3 linked regions of the Arabidopsis thaliana genome follow. The protein of the gene in region 1 purifies or fractionates together with the protein of each later gene. This does not show direct contact. Each region holds a gene or a part of one and is shown in the gene's direction. Other genes may lie near its edges.

The links.
Region 2: the proteins of AT1G33590 (region 1) and AT1G78820 fractionate together in Arabidopsis thaliana (co-fractionation; one large-scale study listed by BioGRID). This does not show direct contact.
Region 3: the proteins of AT1G33590 (region 1) and scpl35 fractionate together in Arabidopsis thaliana (co-fractionation; one large-scale study listed by BioGRID). This does not show direct contact.

What each region holds. Positions count from the first base shown.
Region 1 is NC_003070.9:12,175,263-12,180,394, forward strand, and holds AT1G33590 (Leucine-rich repeat (LRR) family protein), read left to right. Parts: upstream 1-2,410; 5' UTR 2,411-2,414; coding exon 2,415-3,959; 3' UTR 3,960-4,366; downstream 4,367-5,132.
Region 2 is NC_003070.9:29,633,144-29,638,110, reverse strand, and holds AT1G78820 (D-mannose binding lectin protein with Apple-like carbohydrate-binding domain-containing protein), read left to right. Parts: upstream 1-2,179; 5' UTR 2,180-2,342; coding exon 2,343-3,710; 3' UTR 3,711-4,015; downstream 4,016-4,967. Other genes in the region: AT1G78830 (Curculin-like (mannose-binding) lectin family protein), read left to right, coding at 1-970.
Region 3 is NC_003076.8:2,654,812-2,662,389, forward strand, and holds scpl35 (serine carboxypeptidase-like 35), read left to right. Parts: upstream 1-2,242; 5' UTR 2,243-2,424; coding exon 2,425-2,698; intron 2,699-4,623; coding exon 4,624-4,731; intron 4,732-4,832; coding exon 4,833-5,021; intron 5,022-5,150; coding exon 5,151-5,239; intron 5,240-5,348; coding exon 5,349-5,642; intron 5,643-5,745; coding exon 5,746-5,882; intron 5,883-6,012; coding exon 6,013-6,105; intron 6,106-6,202; coding exon 6,203-6,461; 3' UTR 6,462-6,626; downstream 6,627-7,578. Other genes in the region: AT5G08250 (Cytochrome P450 superfamily protein), read right to left, coding at 1-970; AT5G08270 (C5orf35), read left to right, coding at 6,936-6,980, 7,294-7,388, 7,562-7,578. UniProt on the Arabidopsis thaliana protein: Probable carboxypeptidase.

The sequences.
Region 1 (5,132 bases):
CGAAGTACCTTAGCTGGAATCCCCTTCTTCTCTTCACCAGTGTGTTTATCCCTTTCCCATCTGAAAGCACTGCATCTAGGACAAGTATCCCTCAGCTCATACTCCTTTCTGTATAAGATGCAATCATTCGGACAAGCGTGAATGATATCATACCCAAAACCAAACATCTTCAAGAATTTTTTGATCTCATTTGTTGAAGTTAGAAGCACATTCTCTCCTGGTAAGATGTCGTGCACTAAACTCAAAAGTTGATCAAAGTAATTCTCAGACATCCCACTCTTTACTTTAATGCGGTAAAGCCTCATAATTGCAGACACCTTTGTGTACTTGGGACACCCATAATATAATGGAGTTTCAGCATCCTTCAACTTCTCTCTAAAGTCAGATTCTTCTTTAGTTGATGGCTCCTTACTATCATTTTCATTCTGATTCTGAGAATCAGAATGGTCTTCTCCATCAAAATAAGCTGTTCTTATCAACTCATAAGCTCCAAATTCACTACTAGACTCAGCTTCTAACTTATCAGCCCGTATCTCCCCATGCTTACTCCAACATCCATTTCTCTTGTATTTATGATTCATTCCTTTAATAACCAGATGTTCCAAAACAGTATCAATTGGTTGATGACACAGATTCCGGCAATCCGTACATGGACAAAACATTTCAGAAGGATCTCCCAAACGTCTCGATGATGCGTAAACAAATTTTGTTGCTCCTTTCTCGTACTCAATGCTATTCCTTGGCAGCCATACCCAACTCTTATCCATTTTTGAAACACCAACAAGCTCCAACCCCATATATATGATAATATTTATATATATATATATATATATATATATATATATATATTAGTTAACAGAGATACAAGAACAAAGACACAAAGAGAAATTTCAAAAACAAAAATTCAATACTATCAAAGCTATATTGAATACAAGAACCACATAAACTCAAAGCTACACGTATACTAAGAACCACAGAAATTAACTCAATTCGATACAAGTGAATCACATAAATAGTCAAGTTCCATTGGATACAAGTGAAAAGTCACAGAAATAGTCAACTTCTAATCGATACAAGTCAATAGTCACTGAAAATAGTCAAGTTCTAATCAATACAAGTGAATACAAGCTATCAAAGCTATTTGAAACTCAATTCGATACAAATGAATGCTCACTATCAAAGCTATATGAAACTCAATTCGACACATGAGAATAGTCAAGTTCAAAGCTATATGAAACTCAAAATCGATCTAAGAACCACAGAAATCGATCTAAATAACATACTTGTCAAAGAGAAGCCACTGAAATCTTTGAGAAACGCGGATAGCGAAAGCCCCAAATCGAAACCCCTAAATCTGAGAAACCTGAAAATCAAACCCTAAATGTGATTAAAACCCCAAATCGAAACTCAAACCAGACAATTTCACAATGCAAACCCTAAATCGATTACAAAAGAAACATAACCTTCTCGATTTAGAACCAGATCTGTGACTGAGAAGCTGAAGAGTACCAAAAGAGATTGAGGCGTTGAGCAAGAACACGAACAGAGACGGGAGAGAGACAGACAGCTGAAGAACACGAACACAAACAGAGAGAATTGAAAAAGAGAATTGAAAGAGATGAAGAACAGTGAGATGAAAAACAGTGAGAACACGAACAATGTTTTTTGGCCTTAGAAAAAAATTTCGGGGTTAAAAGTCACCAAATATTTTATTCTCCAACGAGCAAAAAAATTTCATTCCGCGCTACTATATTAGGTAGCGGTTTTTGTAAATTAGTGCTATCGAATAATAACCCCTAATCTAAAAATATTGACCCGAGTCATTTTATTTCCCGGGGTAAGATAGTATAACGTTTTGAAAACCAAACGTTATAACGTTTTAGCTGGTTAGTAAATTATAGCAGAACACGATTAACTGCTACAATATAATATTATAAATGCTCAATATTCTTCTAGTAATTTTAATATTAATAAGGAGGTCTTGTATAAACTGATTGTTTCCTGGAAGTGTTATTGCATCGCCAAAAACAGTTGGCGGAAGTCCAGCCCAGTCATGTATTGGAACATCAATTACTCTGTTCTTGCTGTTAGAATCGTTTGGCTCTTGAGTCTATGACAGTTTCTTTTGTCGGAAATGTTGTGAAAAATAAAAATACTATGACTTACTGGAGTTTCAAAATATAACCAAAAAAAACGAAAATATATTATAAGAAGTCTGAAAAAAGTAGAATTTTGTTTTTAGCAAAACATTAAGACGTGTTAATTGTCAAGAGAAGACCTATGCATATATAATAGTCAAGAAAAGACAAACTATAATAAAAATCTAATGAAACTGTCTTTTTCAAGTGTGTCGGGGAAAAATGATAAATTCGACCACGATTACGGATACCACTAATAATTATGGTCACATGCAGATGCAAATGGATTGGTCAAAAACGTCAACTTTGACTTCGCAGCTCTCAAGTAATCTTTTCCCCACTACTAATAGCTCTCTTCTCTCAATCAACACAACACAATTCACCACCATGAACTCTTCCTTTACTCTCTTCATCTTTACCTTCGTCATCTTCCTCCAATGTCTAAATCCCACCGGAGCTGCCACGTGTCATCCTGATGATGAAGCGGGTCTTCTAGCTTTCAAAGCGGGTATAACCCGAGATCCTTCGGGTATTCTCAGTTCTTGGAAGAAAGGTACCGCTTGTTGTTCTTGGAACGGTGTCACTTGTCTCACCACTGACCGTGTCTCTGCACTCTCTGTCGCTGGACAAGCCGATGTTGCTGGAAGCTTCCTCTCCGGCACTCTCTCGCCGTCGTTGGCTAAACTCAAGCACCTTGATGGGATTTACTTCACCGATCTCAAGAACATCACTGGTTCTTTTCCTCAATTCCTTTTCCAATTACCAAATCTTAAGTACGTATACATTGAGAATAACCGTCTCTCTGGTACTCTTCCGGCTAACATCGGTGCGCTAAGCCAGCTTGAAGCGTTCAGCCTCGAGGGAAACCGGTTCACCGGTCCGATCCCGAGCTCGATATCTAATTTGACTCTGTTAACTCAACTCAAACTCGGCAATAATCTCCTAACCGGAACTATACCGTTAGGGGTCGCTAATCTCAAGCTCATGTCGTATCTCAACCTTGGAGGTAACCGTCTCACTGGAACCATTCCAGATATTTTCAAATCCATGCCAGAGCTCCGATCTTTAACTCTCTCCCGCAACGGATTCTCCGGGAATCTTCCTCCGTCCATTGCATCACTCGCACCGATTCTTAGGTTCCTCGAGTTAGGCCATAACAAACTCTCCGGGACGATTCCAAACTTTTTATCAAACTTCAAGGCGCTCGACACATTGGATCTCTCCAAGAATCGGTTCTCGGGTGTCATACCGAAGAGTTTCGCCAATCTGACCAAGATATTCAATCTTGATCTCTCCCATAATCTTCTAACCGATCCATTCCCTGTCTTGAACGTTAAAGGCATTGAATCTTTGGATCTTTCTTACAACCAGTTTCACTTGAATACGATCCCGAAATGGGTGACTTCGTCGCCGATCATCTTCTCGTTGAAGCTAGCAAAATGCGGGATCAAGATGAGCTTAGACGATTGGAAGCCAGCGCAAACATTCTACTATGATTTCATCGATCTGTCGGAAAACGAGATCACAGGGAGTCCAGCAAGGTTCTTGAACCAAACAGAGTATCTAGTGGAGTTCAAGGCAGCGGGTAACAAACTACGATTCGATATGGGGAAGCTAACGTTTGCAAAGACGCTGACAACTTTAGATATATCAAGGAACTTGGTATTTGGGAAGGTGCCGGCAATGGTGGCTGGACTAAAGACATTGAACGTGAGTCACAACCATCTTTGTGGAAAGCTTCCAGTAACAAAGTTCCCGGCCAGTGCGTTTGTGGGTAATGACTGTCTTTGCGGCTCTCCTCTTTCTCCTTGTAAAGCTTAAGCGGCAAGAAAGCTACAACTGGTAGTTGGATATTTACCGTGACCAATAAAGTTTAGCTCCAAATAAAATTTGTATTAAAAAGATTACAACAAATAAAGTAGTTTTATGTTATGAAGAAGCTTCATTCTAACAATATGTATTAGTGAAAGTACTCAAAGTAGTATTTAAGTTCTCAACTATTATGCATTTTTTATATAGCAGCTAAAATATTACTTTAACATGATAGAAAAATGATTTTAAAAAATAGAAGGAAAAACAGAGTAGTATTCTGATACAACATGCTCCAATTTATGTAACTTTTGCTTATATATTAAACTGATTATGTAGTATGCAACTCTTGGCTAATCTGTTCTCAATTCAGAATAGTCGCAACAAATGATGCAGTAAATAATCTATGTTTACTGGAATTTAACTCGCTCTATACAAAAAAAGAAAGAAAGTTATAGTGATATCTTATTTAGAACTATGCGTAATTTATTATTCTTCAGTGTTCTATAATTGGTTAACAAAAACCTAGTGATGAAAACAAGAGGAGTCCTTACTAGATAGATGCATATAACTTCATCACTACAAAATTTATTTGATCACAAATAACACATACCAAACAACAAACCAAGTAATCGATATATACTAGTATCAAACCTCTTTTTTCTCTTTACATACACATAACACAAGGTCATCCACAGGACATATAGCGTCTGCATTGAGGAATTAGACCATCTCTGAAGTAGGTTTCAACTTAGTATTGTTTTTTTTTTTGTCTAAAACACTAAAGTTCGATTAGACTAATGCATCCATATTCAATGAGACAAAGACATAGTAAACCAACCTAGAAAAATTATTCAAAAACTATACAAAAAAAGATAGTTTGAGTAATTGGTTCTTCCAAAACAAGACTAATGCATGCAGCATCTTAAAACTTCACCACCATAAACGAAAATTGAGTAATTGGTTCTTCCAAAACAAGCTAAGATTCCACTATAATTTCTTACGATAAACAAATAGATAAAGCTACTTATGTTAATGTTGGATTACGCTAAGAAAATTAAGGCATGAATCTATCGGCCCATCTCGAGGCCAACTTAGTCCACAATCTGGATCATTGTACTTAGATATATTTGACTTTTATTTTGTGGTCAATAATGTACATATTGTTAGACAAAAATAACATGT
Region 2 (4,967 bases), about 17 Mb from region 1:
TAACAAAGGCGTCACCGGATTCCAAATCTTACCCAACGGAAACATCGTCCTACACGACAAAAACGGCAAATTCGTATGGCAGAGTTTCGATCACCCCACCGATACACTCCTCACCGGCCAATCGTTAAAAGTTAACGGAGTCAACAAACTCGTTAGCCGTACATCTGATTCGAACGGCTCAGATGGTCCGTACAGCATGGTGCTGGACAAAAAAGGTTTAACCATGTACGTTAACAAAACCGGTACGCCGTTAGTTTACGGCGGATGGCCGGATCACGATTTCCGCGGCACCGTCACTTTCGCCGTTACAAGAGAATTCGATAATTTAACGGAGCCGTCAGCTTACGAGCTTCTCTTAGAACCCGCACCACAACCCGCTACGAACCCGGGTAATAACCGCCGGTTACTCCAAGTCAGACCAATCGGAAGCGGAGGAGGAACTTTAAATCTGAACAAAATCAATTACAACGGAACGATTTCGTATCTAAGACTCGGATCTGACGGGAGTCTCAAGGCTTACTCGTATTTCCCAGCAGCTACGTATCTCAAATGGGAAGAGAGTTTCTCATTCTTCTCCACTTACTTCGTCCGTCAATGTGGCTTGCCGTCGTTTTGCGGCGATTACGGTTACTGCGATCGTGGGATGTGCAACGCGTGTCCTACACCAAAAGGATTACTCGGATGGAGTGATAAATGCGCACCACCTAAAACGACGCAGTTTTGCAGCGGAGTCAAGGGTAAAACTGTCAATTATTATAAGATAGTCGGTGTTGAGCATTTTACTGGGCCTTATGTTAATGATGGACAAGGCCCAACTTCTGTGAACGATTGCAAGGCCAAGTGCGATCGTGATTGCAAGTGTTTGGGTTACTTCTACAAAGAGAAAGACAAGAAATGTTTGCTTGCTCCTCTGCTTGGTACACTTATCAAAGATGCCAACACTTCTTCTGTTGCTTACATCAAATATTAGTGTTTTTTTGGGAAAGTTATTTACCGAATTCTTTTTGAATTCTTAGAGATTTAATGAATAATCGGTGTGCTTGTAATGATCCACCGTTGAATATATTGTATTACCTTAAAAAAAAGCCATCAGATGTATTTACTATATATATATAGTACCTTTGAGAATCAAAATACCATGTGAAGCATTATCATTATTTTGTTGCCTCTGACAAGAGTTTTGTAGTCCACTGGTCCTCCACTTGGAATACCGCTCACTTGGTTCTTAATTCAATTGACTACTGAGGTTTGTAGATGGTCGTTGGGACTCATACTGTCAAAAGAACAGCAAAAATTTTGTCACTTCTCCAACTCATTGGGCCTTTAGGCTTTGTCATAGCCCAATAATTCTATCTTAATCGGACAAACCGTGTGGTCCACTTCCCTTCGTACATATTTTTTACAAGTTTTGTGGTCTTACTTTTTACTTTTTAGCATTACATGGGATAAAAAGTGAAAGCTTGCCCAGCAGCTATGCATCCATCAACCATCAAAATCTGACTCACAGTACTGTTTTGGATGTCTGAACTTACATAAAAGATTCGATCATCACAAGATGATTATTGTGAGTTTTAATTTTTTTACTGTTAAAGCTGGCGGAGATGTTTTTATATCTGTTAGCATTATCTCGGAAATTTGTATATATATATACGACAGTCTAGTGGCGGGTCAGATAAAGGTGGAATGTGTAGTCTAGACTTTAGAATATATAAAATTACTTTATGAAGTATATTTACATACAAGACGGTAAAATCGAGAAATTTATATAGCTAGTTTGGGAAGTGTGGGTACTTAGTTATCCAAATATTCACTAATTTGAGTAGAGATCAAAATGGTGATCGGGTAGATTGCAATCTTGAAAGGATTTTTAGATATATTTTTACAGTTTAAAGTATTTAAACGAGTACATTCTATATTTAAAAACAAGTGTTTAAAGTATGAATCCGATTGGAGAATCTAAATTTTCTTTTGTCAAAAACGATGGTCAACTTTGTCTGAACAATTTTCATGAGATTAGTTATACAAAATTTGTGTAATAAAAACGGATTAACAACAATATATATAATTAGTGTTTTACTCACAACTTTTGTATATACGATAATTTTCGAAAATTCTCAGTAGACATATCTTATCCAAATCATAAATGAGCCATTGGTTGATCTGTATAACGAAGACACGATTTGCAGCTTAGGACCATTCAAAAAAAAAAAAAAAAAAAACTTAGGACTTTCAAACGAATACAGCCCAACGACCCAAAGTTAAGATCTTATATATACACCTAAAGGATATAGAAAATCATCTCACTCTACTACTCAATCTCAGTAAACATAAAGAACACAACCATGCTTAGGTTTGATTACTTACTAATCACGGCACTTGCCATTTCAACTGTTTCGGTTGTCATGGCCCAAGTCCCTCCCGAGAAACAATTCAGAGTGCTCAACGAACCCGGCTACGCCCCATACATCACCGAGTACGACGCGAGTTACCGATTCCTCAACTCACCGAATCAGAATTTCTTCACAATTCCTTTCCAGCTCATGTTTTACAATACAACTCCTAGCGCCTACGTGTTAGCTCTCCGAGTCGGAACGAGGCGTGACATGAGTTTCACGCGTTGGATCTGGGACGCCAATCGCAACAACCCCGTCGGAGACAACTCCACACTCTCATTCGGCCGAAACGGAAACCTTGTGCTCGCTGAGTTAAACGGCCAAGTCAAGTGGCAGACTAACACAGCCAACAAAGGCGTCACCGGATTCCAAATCTTGCCCAATGGAAACATGGTGCTACACGACAAACATGGAAAATTCGTTTGGCAGAGTTTCGATCATCCCACCGATACACTCCTCGTCGGCCAATCCCTAAAAGTTAACGGAGTTAACAAACTCGTTAGCCGTACATCTGATATGAACGGCTCCGATGGTCCGTACAGCATGGTGTTGGACAACAAAGGCTTAACCATGTACGTTAACAAAACCGGTACGCCGTTAGTTTACGGGGGATGGACGGATCACGACTTCCGCGGTACCGTCACGTTCGCCGTTACAAGAGAGTTCGATAATTTAACGGAGCCGTCAGCTTACGAGCTTCTCTTAGAACCCGCACCACAACCCGCTACGAACCCGGGTAATAACCGCCGGTTACTCCAAGTTAGACCAATCGGAAGCGGAGGAGGAACTTTAAACTTAAACAAAATCAACTACAATGGAACGATATCGTATCTGAGACTTGGATCCGACGGTAGCCTCAAGGCCTTCTCGTATTTCCCTGCCGCGACGTATCTCGAATGGGAAGAGACTTTCGCTTTCTTCTCCAATTACTTCGTCCGTCAATGCGGTTTGCCGACGTTTTGCGGCGATTACGGTTACTGCGATCGAGGAATGTGCGTCGGGTGCCCTACACCGAAAGGTCTGTTAGCTTGGAGTGATAAATGCGCTCCACCTAAAACGACGCAGTTTTGCAGCGGAGGCAAGGGTAAAGCTGTCAATTATTACAAGATAGTCGGTGTTGAGCATTTTACTGGGCCGTATGTTAATGATGGACAAGGCCCAACTTCTGTGAACGATTGCAAGGCTAAGTGCGATCGTGATTGCAAGTGTTTGGGTTACTTCTACAAGGAGAAGGACAAGAAATGTTTGCTTGCTCCTCTTCTTGGTACACTTATCAAAGATGCCAACACTTCTTCCGTTGCTTACATCAAATATTAGCGAGATTTATAAACCGAAACCAACGTGAATTCTCATAGATTTAATGAATAATTGGTGTTGTTATAATGCTTCACCGTTTTTGTTTTCGTAGACTCGCGTATTATGCTCAGTCCTAGTCAAGTATGATATTATCAAAATAAAAATGGATGATATTGATGTTCTTCAGATTATCAAAATTGAAATTAATAGTCGATCATTATAATGCGTCCTTTATACAATATTCAATTAATGCTTTTGTTTTGTATAAATAACAATGAGACAACTCGATATTGTTGCACATTTCATAATTTTCTGTTGGTTAATGATTATGCCGTGGGACCATTTTTTCTATGCATACGACTGATTACTGAGATTTTTCTTTTCTTGGTTGAATGAGTATCTGCAGGAAAATTAAAAACTCAAATTTATAAAAAATTAGGAAGAATCATATCCTAGGAGAGTAGGTAGGTAATTGTTGTTTTAAATATAAACAAAGGGAATACTTCTTTTAACCACAAAAGTTATGCTATCATTTTAGAAAGAAAAAACTATTCAACCAACCCTTGAATAATGGATATTCACCTAGTTTATTAGAAATTTTCTAGTAACGATTGGTCAGTGCCTCAGTGGCAGCCAAAAAGGAATATCCTTAATCTTATTTAATTTTGACAACAAATATTTAATACACTCCAATAACATTAGAATTCTGTAGATGACAAAACTTTAAATAAGTAAATGCAAGCGTCCATCGCGGATCTTTGGGATTGGGACCTCCATAGATTTATTTGTCTGGTTCTATTTGAGAGAATCATATTTACAAAATTTAAGGTCCATTGGGCTTTATTTATGGGCCTATTAATTATCGATTTATCCACATTCTTCTTTTGTTTGGTTTTCATCGTTTCCAATTTCCATGCACAAAGAAAACGCTCTTATACGTAAATATATTGGTATTTCTACTAGATCATACTTTATACTTTATGTGTTATTTCTCCATTCCAGTATTATTGTTTTTCTTTTGTTACGCATCATAATAGGGCGGCAATATTCGTTGACAATGATTGCTAAGCTGAATGGAAACATAATTACAATTTTAATAGCAACAAATATATTTAAATAAAGTAAATAGTAAACAATACTTAAATGCTAATCGTACAAATTAAAGGAAGGGAAAATAATTTGATAGGTCTACTGATTGAAAAAGAAAGAACTAAAGCACTCTTGCTGGCCCCATCCCCTGTCTCCCTCATCTATCACTTAACTTGATAATCCAAAAAA
Region 3 (7,578 bases), on another chromosome or scaffold:
GCAAGAACTTATCTGAAAATTTCTGTCCATTTTCGTCTCGTAGACCCATAAAAATAGTCAAGAGATCAGGTCTCTTCGCGATTTCAGTCTCTAGAGACATCTCTTTCTTCCTCGTCCGGATTACTTCTTCAGCGAAATCATCCACACCATTTATTGATTCCTTTAGCTTCTTCTCCGTTCCTAAATTAAGAGACCTCATGAGCTTCCACACGAATTTAGGCATCACAAATCTCACAACTGTTGCTTCTGTTGCGTCCTCGAAGGCTTTTGCAAAAGGAATTTCGGGTAGTTTTGGACTAAGACAGCCTGGATCGACCCCGAAAGCAATCATGCATACATTGTCGAACGTTAGTCTTAACAAAATGTCCTGAAGATCAATCTTTCCGGAAGTTTCTAGAACCGGCAAAAGTCGATTATGCACGAGTTCGTGCAATGATTGACTGGTTAATTGTCTGAATTTAGCCGAATGGAATTCGACACTTGCTGCTTTCCTTTGTCGTTGCCACGTTCCGTCATCGGTGTTGAAAATCCCGTCTCCGAGTAGATCTTGCATGGTCTCACGGAAGTAAGAACCCTTTGGGTAGATAGAGAAACGGGTCTTGAGAAGATGCTCAACGTTTCTTGGGTCGCAGGTAACAACGCAGTTGAGGGTGCTAAACCAAGGACCTCTAAACCGGAATGTCCCGTTTTGGCTGATAAGAACATCAGACAGCCATTCGTATATGTTGCTTCGTACCGCGGATATCAACGAAGGAAGCATGCCAACCAACGGCCAAACGGGCATCCCTTGGTGTTTCTTCTGGCGCAAGGAATGTATTGTCGCAAACACGAAAAAGGCAATAAAGAGCTCAAGAATCTGAACATCTCTCAGGGAAAACAGCCTCCTTGAAACCAGAAGTTCGTCGCTTCCGAAACAAGAAGAGGACACGGCAGTAGCCGTGAGATTATAAGAAGAAAAACTAAGATTCATAGTGACAAAGAAGGAACAAAGAAACAGAGTGTGTATAATTTTTTTGCAGAGAGAAAGAGAAAGAGAGATAAGAAATAATGAAGTTGTTAGTTAATTTAGTAGGTGAAGAATGTGAAATGAGGGAAGAAGGATTTAAGACGCATAAGTTTCGTGTTTGGCTCTCAATGTGAAATTGGGTTTGATTTGGTGAGCTAAAAAAAGTTCGTTGCTCTTTTCTAACGGTCTTTTAAATTTGTGTGGCTCTTTATTCTCGTGTTTTGCTATGTTTTCGTTTTGGTCTTTTGAAAGGACGAATCTTTTGGAGGGGATTAACTAGAAAATTAGGAAAATTAGAATTAGGGTTTTAGACTTGAGGATTGTTGATAAAAGAGAAATTGACAGGTGGGTAGTGACGGATCACCTAAGTTCTTGTTTATTTGTTATACACTTTATTTTATTTTGTCAAACAACTTGTTTAATTTATACGTGTGGAAATTGGAATTGGAAGAATATTAATAGTGAGTAATTCAAATAAACAGAATTTTTTTGGATACTACTGTACTATTTTAAACCTGGCGGTGAAGCCGTTGTTGTTTGAATTTAGGTTATCTGCATATATCTGGTGAATAATTGTTTTCGAACAATTTGGGCTTAGAAAACATATGGGCCTATCAATAAAGTATCGGGCCTTTGATATATATAAAATTTCATTAACCTCATTATTAATGTATTTTGGGCCTTACAGGCCCTCTGGCCTCTTCTAGGTGACTATAGCATCAATAAATGATTCTCATTAAGCCGCCAATTTCTCTGGCCTCTTCTAGGTGACTATAGCATCAATAAATTATTCCCGAGACAATTGCGAATAAACCACTTTCTTTGGAAATTATCATTGAGATCAACATAAAACATAAGCTTTGTTTATATGACAATGCTGTTGTTTTAAAGCTCTACGGTAGTACTACACATGTAATTTAATGAATTTTAATTGATTTCTAAACAGTACGAGCAATTTGTGTGTTGAATTCAACTTTGATTATATGGTTTATAAAACCTTGTTTTGGGAGATGAAATTCTGAATTAAGAAAAATAAAGAAGAAAGCATTTAATTTGCCGATGGCTCCATCTCCATAGCCATGTGGTTCAGTCTCCGATGATGACATCTCAAGCGTTGAAATTCAATTCCATCTTTCTGTAAAAGGTGAGAAAATTGGTAGTGAACCAACCATGTTATCGGAGACCGTGGAGGCACATTACAAGGAAATGATTATGAAATGTGTTTATTGTTATAACATTTTCACGTGAGTATCAAAAAAAAAATCTCATGAAAAATAAAAGACTTTTAAAGTTTTTTTTAATATAAAAAAAGACAGTATAAAGTAGAAGAAGTGGGGGCGTTTTCTCATCTGCTCTTCATTTCGATAAATAATTGAAAAGAACAAAAGAAACAAAAGAGACGAGAAAGAGTTTTGGCGATGAAGAAGAACGCACTTTGGCTACTGTGCATTCTGGTGTTACCGGCGATAGCCTGTGGTAGGAAACCGGAGAAGAAGGTAACAATTTCATCCTCTGGGAGGAAGGAAGATGACCTTGTAACCGGTTTGCCCGGCCAACCACCGGTTAACTTCAAACACTACGCCGGTTACGTGAATCTGGGGCCTGAACAGAAGCAAAAGGCACTTTTCTATTGGTTCTTCGAAGCTCAACAAAACTCTTCTCGTCGTCCTCTCGTCCTTTGGCTCAATGGAGGTCAGTTTCTCTTCCTCTCTCGCTCATTTACATAAAGTATATTTTATTTGAAGTAGTAATACAAACTTATCATTGTTCTCAATTGGAATTTTCATTCGAAACTTCATTGTTTCTGCGGTTTTACAAATATGTTTACCAATTTTAAAATGATAGCACCTTTTTTGAAACGGATGATGTGATGATTATGTTTGCAATAAAAAAATCAGTGTAATGAAAGATTAATGAACTCTCAAGCTCGTGCCTCGTGGGCCATGGTAATTAGGTTAATACATATGTCTAATCACACCATCACGTATTGACCACAAAACTCTGTGCCTGCAGGCCGTGATGTTGGGAAAATAATAGATAAAACTTGCACGAAAAAGAAAAAGAAAAAACACTAAACATAGAGAAATGTTTTCGGCAGTTGTATTTTCTTGGATACATAATTGAATTTGGACTAAAATTTTAATTATTTATATAGCTAACTCTTAGAAAACATCAAGTTGTGTACATTGTCCTACCAAACTCCATCGTCTGTCTCCTTACCCTGCCTTGTAACTTGCCAAGCAGTTCCTTTCGTTTCAGTAACAATAAAATTTTACTGTAATTGTATCGCAACGAGATAGTAAAGGGTCGTTTCGATGCAGTTGTTTTTGTTTTAAATTTTCCAAAAATTACAAGTCTATCAAATAGCCAAAACTTAAAGTAGTCTATTGTTTGTACAGTTATATATCGCTATTCTTAATAATCTGTAACTTATAGATGCCGTGTATGGCTTGATAAAAATAGCCAGAAACACCATTAAGTGATACACTGATACTATTCAACATTTTTGTTCCTTACTATTGCTTGATGGAGAAGTGATAACAAATCTGATACAGTTGGGAATGCCGACAAATTTTAATTGCCTACTTTAATAATATTTCGTTTTGTGGAACGCACTTCAACAATCTGTAGTCTGTATACGGTGGAACGAGTAGGTTCTTGCCTCTTCGGGACAAATATAGTCCAGTCCTCGTTTTCTTAACGTGAAATCTCAAAACCATAGCTTAAAACAAGTTGTATTTGAAAATGAGCTTCGATCTAATTAAGTGAACAAAAGTTATTCACAAAAATTAAAATTAACCTGTTTAAATACATCATATTTTTTCGTGAAGATTCAGTGAAATAAAACACTATACTATAACCCAACAACATATTTGGAAAAAATATCAACGAAGTCGTATATGGTCCGGCTCTCTGACAGATATTGGACTTGTATCATTCAATCAGTGTCCTTTTTGTGTAACATTCAATGTCCAAATCTTGTTTCTAGAGTGAGTAAAGATCTTTTGTCTGTTTCTTCTTTTTCTCTCGGTAGTTGTACATTCAATTTAACGAATTTACTTTATACGGTTTGTCTTTTTTCCCACACGGTTCATTCCAATATTAGGATATTTAGGGATACGAGAAATATCAACCTAGTCTTTTTTATTGGGGCTAGAAATCGGATAAGATGTTGAATATTCAATTATACACTTAGAAATAAACAAAAAGCTATGTCTAATAATAATGTGGAGTTGTGTACATGTCTAGTTTGAACAGAAAGATTGAAATTTGTTAATAATGAGGTATTACCTTTATAGGATTTGCGTGATTGAAGGGTACACACGAATCCAATGTAATCAAGAGCAATAGCAAAATCTTTAGTTATTTAATTTCTGTATACGAAAATGATATTTGAATCTTGATAGACAACTCGGGACAAAATACTGACGTCTAGCTAGCTAGTCTCATTAATTTTATTTTTTCTCGACAAATTTAGTTGTTTAGTTTTGGATTTTCTTGACAAATCTAGCGATGGAATTGAAAATAGCAATTTTCTTTAGTGAATTGTATTATTACATATTTGGTGAAACTCTTAAATTATTTTCATCAGTTTAACTAAAATCCAAAATATGCAGGACCGGGTTGCTCATCAATAGCCTATGGAGCTGCACAAGAACTAGGCCCTTTTCTTGTTCACGACAACGGTGGCAAACTTACCTACAATCATTTCTCTTGGAACAAAGGTAAAATGAATTATTACCATACTATCAGAAACATTTGAATTCTTTAGCTAACATGTATACTAATATTAACCGTGGTTACATTAAAAAAAATGTTTGTGCAGAGGCCAATATGTTGTTCTTGGAAGCGCCGGTTGGGGTTGGGTTCTCGTATACCAATAACTCAATGGATCTTCAAAAGCTTGGAGATGAAGTTACTGCATCGGACTCTCTTGCTTTCCTGATCAACTGGTTCATGAAATTCCCCGAGTTCCGATCCAGCGAGTTCTACATCTCTGGCGAGAGTTACGCCGGTAAGTGCTTTATCCGATTTTAATTCTTGATTTATGAATTATATCACCTAATATAAAAGAATTAATCTTGTATATTAATATTATATAAAACAAAGATTGAATCACATGCTTTTGATCTTCTTTTCTCAGGTCACTATGTTCCTCAGCTCGCGGAGGTAATTTACGACAGGAACAAGAAGGTTACGAAAGACTCTAGCATTAATCTCAAGGGATTCATGGTATGCACTCTATATATATGTATACTACTAGTAAGGTTACTTGCGAAACGAGGAAGCAACGTTTCTTGTGCTATAAGTAAACATAAAAGGTATTCGTTTGATGTTGCAGATAGGGAACGCGGTGATCAATGAGGCAACAGACATGGCAGGACTAGTGGACTACGCATGGAGCCACGCTATAATATCGGACGAGGTCCACACCAGCATCCATGGCTCGTGCAGTTTTGAGGAAGATACCACCAACAAGACCGAACAATGCTACAACAATTTCAAAGGGTTCATGGATGCTTACAATGATATCGATATATACAGTATCTACACTCCCGTTTGCCTCTCCTCTTTGTTGTCATCTTCTCCAAGAAAACCTAAAATCGTCGTGTCTCCTCGTCTCCTTACTTTTGACGTACGTAATCTACAATACAATATAGTATCATTGTAACATAATGTAATTACCATAATCTCTCTTCTTACTTTTTCTTACCAATTCTTCTCTTTTGATGGTTTAGGATTTGTGGGACAAGTTTCCGGCCGGGTACGATCCATGCACTGAAAGTTATGCCGAGAATTACTTTAACCGGAAAGATGTGCAGGTTGCACTCCATGCGAACGTCACCAACCTTCCTTATCCGTACTCTCCTTGCAGGTTAGTCCTCCTTACGTTACGTGGTACTAACTAAAATTAATAGCTAGCTAGAGACTTTGTATGTTAAGTTTAATGTCATGTTTCTAATGAACAAAGTATATATATATATGATCTTGTGGGTGTGATTCAGCGGAGTAATAAAGAGATGGAGTGATGCTCCATCCACCATGATTCCCATCATACAAAAGCTTTTGACGGGTGGCCTCCGTATCTGGATCTATAGGTATCTATATCTTTCTTTAACTGTTTTAAAAATTACGTGAAAAATTCATATATATTGTCAATTAGTTTAATGTTCACTGGTTCAATGTTGGCTATAGTGGAGATACGGATGGGAGAGTTCCGGTAACATCTACACGTTATAGCATAAAAAAGATGGGACTTAAGGTCGAGTCACCGTGGAGGTCATGGTTCCACAAGAGTCAAGTAGCTGGATGGGTTGAGACTTATGCCGGTGGACTAAATTTTGTCACGGTGAGAGGAGCCGGTCACCAGGTTCCGGCCTTGGCTCCGGCGCAATCTCTCACATTATTCTCTCACTTCATTTCTTCTGTCCCCTTGCCTTCAAAACGGTTCTGATATCAGTACCGTCAAGTCATGATGGCAAGTTGTTGTTGTTGTTTTGGAACCTTCGTTTAGCACTCTCCCAATTGATTTTATGAATTTCAATTGATGAATAAAGATTCTTCAACTTTTAGTTATATAATAAGGCTTTTACCTTTCTACGCACGTTTTTCGTTGTTTAATAATTTCCAGTATTTCAATTTTCAATAATCAACAAATCAGTAGTCTACTTCATTAATTTTGGAACTCAATGAAAATTTTCAAATTAATTTTAATATGAATGAAATAAATTAGGGGGAGACGGCCCTTAAGGCCCATTATAAATTTAGAGGGCCATTAAGGCCCATTAACACAAATTAAACCCAGTCATGGAGCTGAGGCAGTAGCGTTCGTTTTTTTGGAATCAATCACCGAAAGAGATCTTTCAACTGAAGCACCTGCGATTCATCTTCTTCTCTGCCCGTCGTTTCAACGTGAGGAGAAAAAAGAATGGCGTTTGCAAAAATGATGTTTCTTTTCGGAAAATTTCAGCAGGTGAATATATGAAGTTCTTATCTTCTAATCTGACTTATTTTTGAAACTTCCTCTCTGGTACGTGTTTTTTGATGTTGGGTATGAAGAAAGTTCGAGGCTTTTCAAAGGATTTAGTCTTCACTGTAATATGATTCCTGTGACTATATTTTGTAGCTTGTATAGACTTCAGAACATATGTGAGTACTTGAAAATGATTGAATTCTCAATGATTTGCTTTCTGTCCATAAAATGTAATTTGAAGTTGCTCATACGATAATAATAGGCATTGTCAATTTTGATTCAATGGTGAATTTGCTTTTAATTTTCTTTTCAGGGTGTTGGTGTTCTAGCAAAGAGTACCACTTTTGCTAAGAATCCAAGGCAACTGCAATTTGAAGCCGACATTAACAAATTGTTTATGTTTACAAGGTTGGTATTTTTTTGGTATAGATTAAGAGCTTTTGAACAAGATTTATAATGTTCAAGGATGTAGGATTATCAAGTATCAACTTGTCTATTTATTGACTAAGCAAAGAGTCAGTCTCTGTAATTGTTGGAGATTTTTTCCACTATATGGCTCACGGAGTTTCTCTGTGATATAGCTATAATCGTTTGGGAC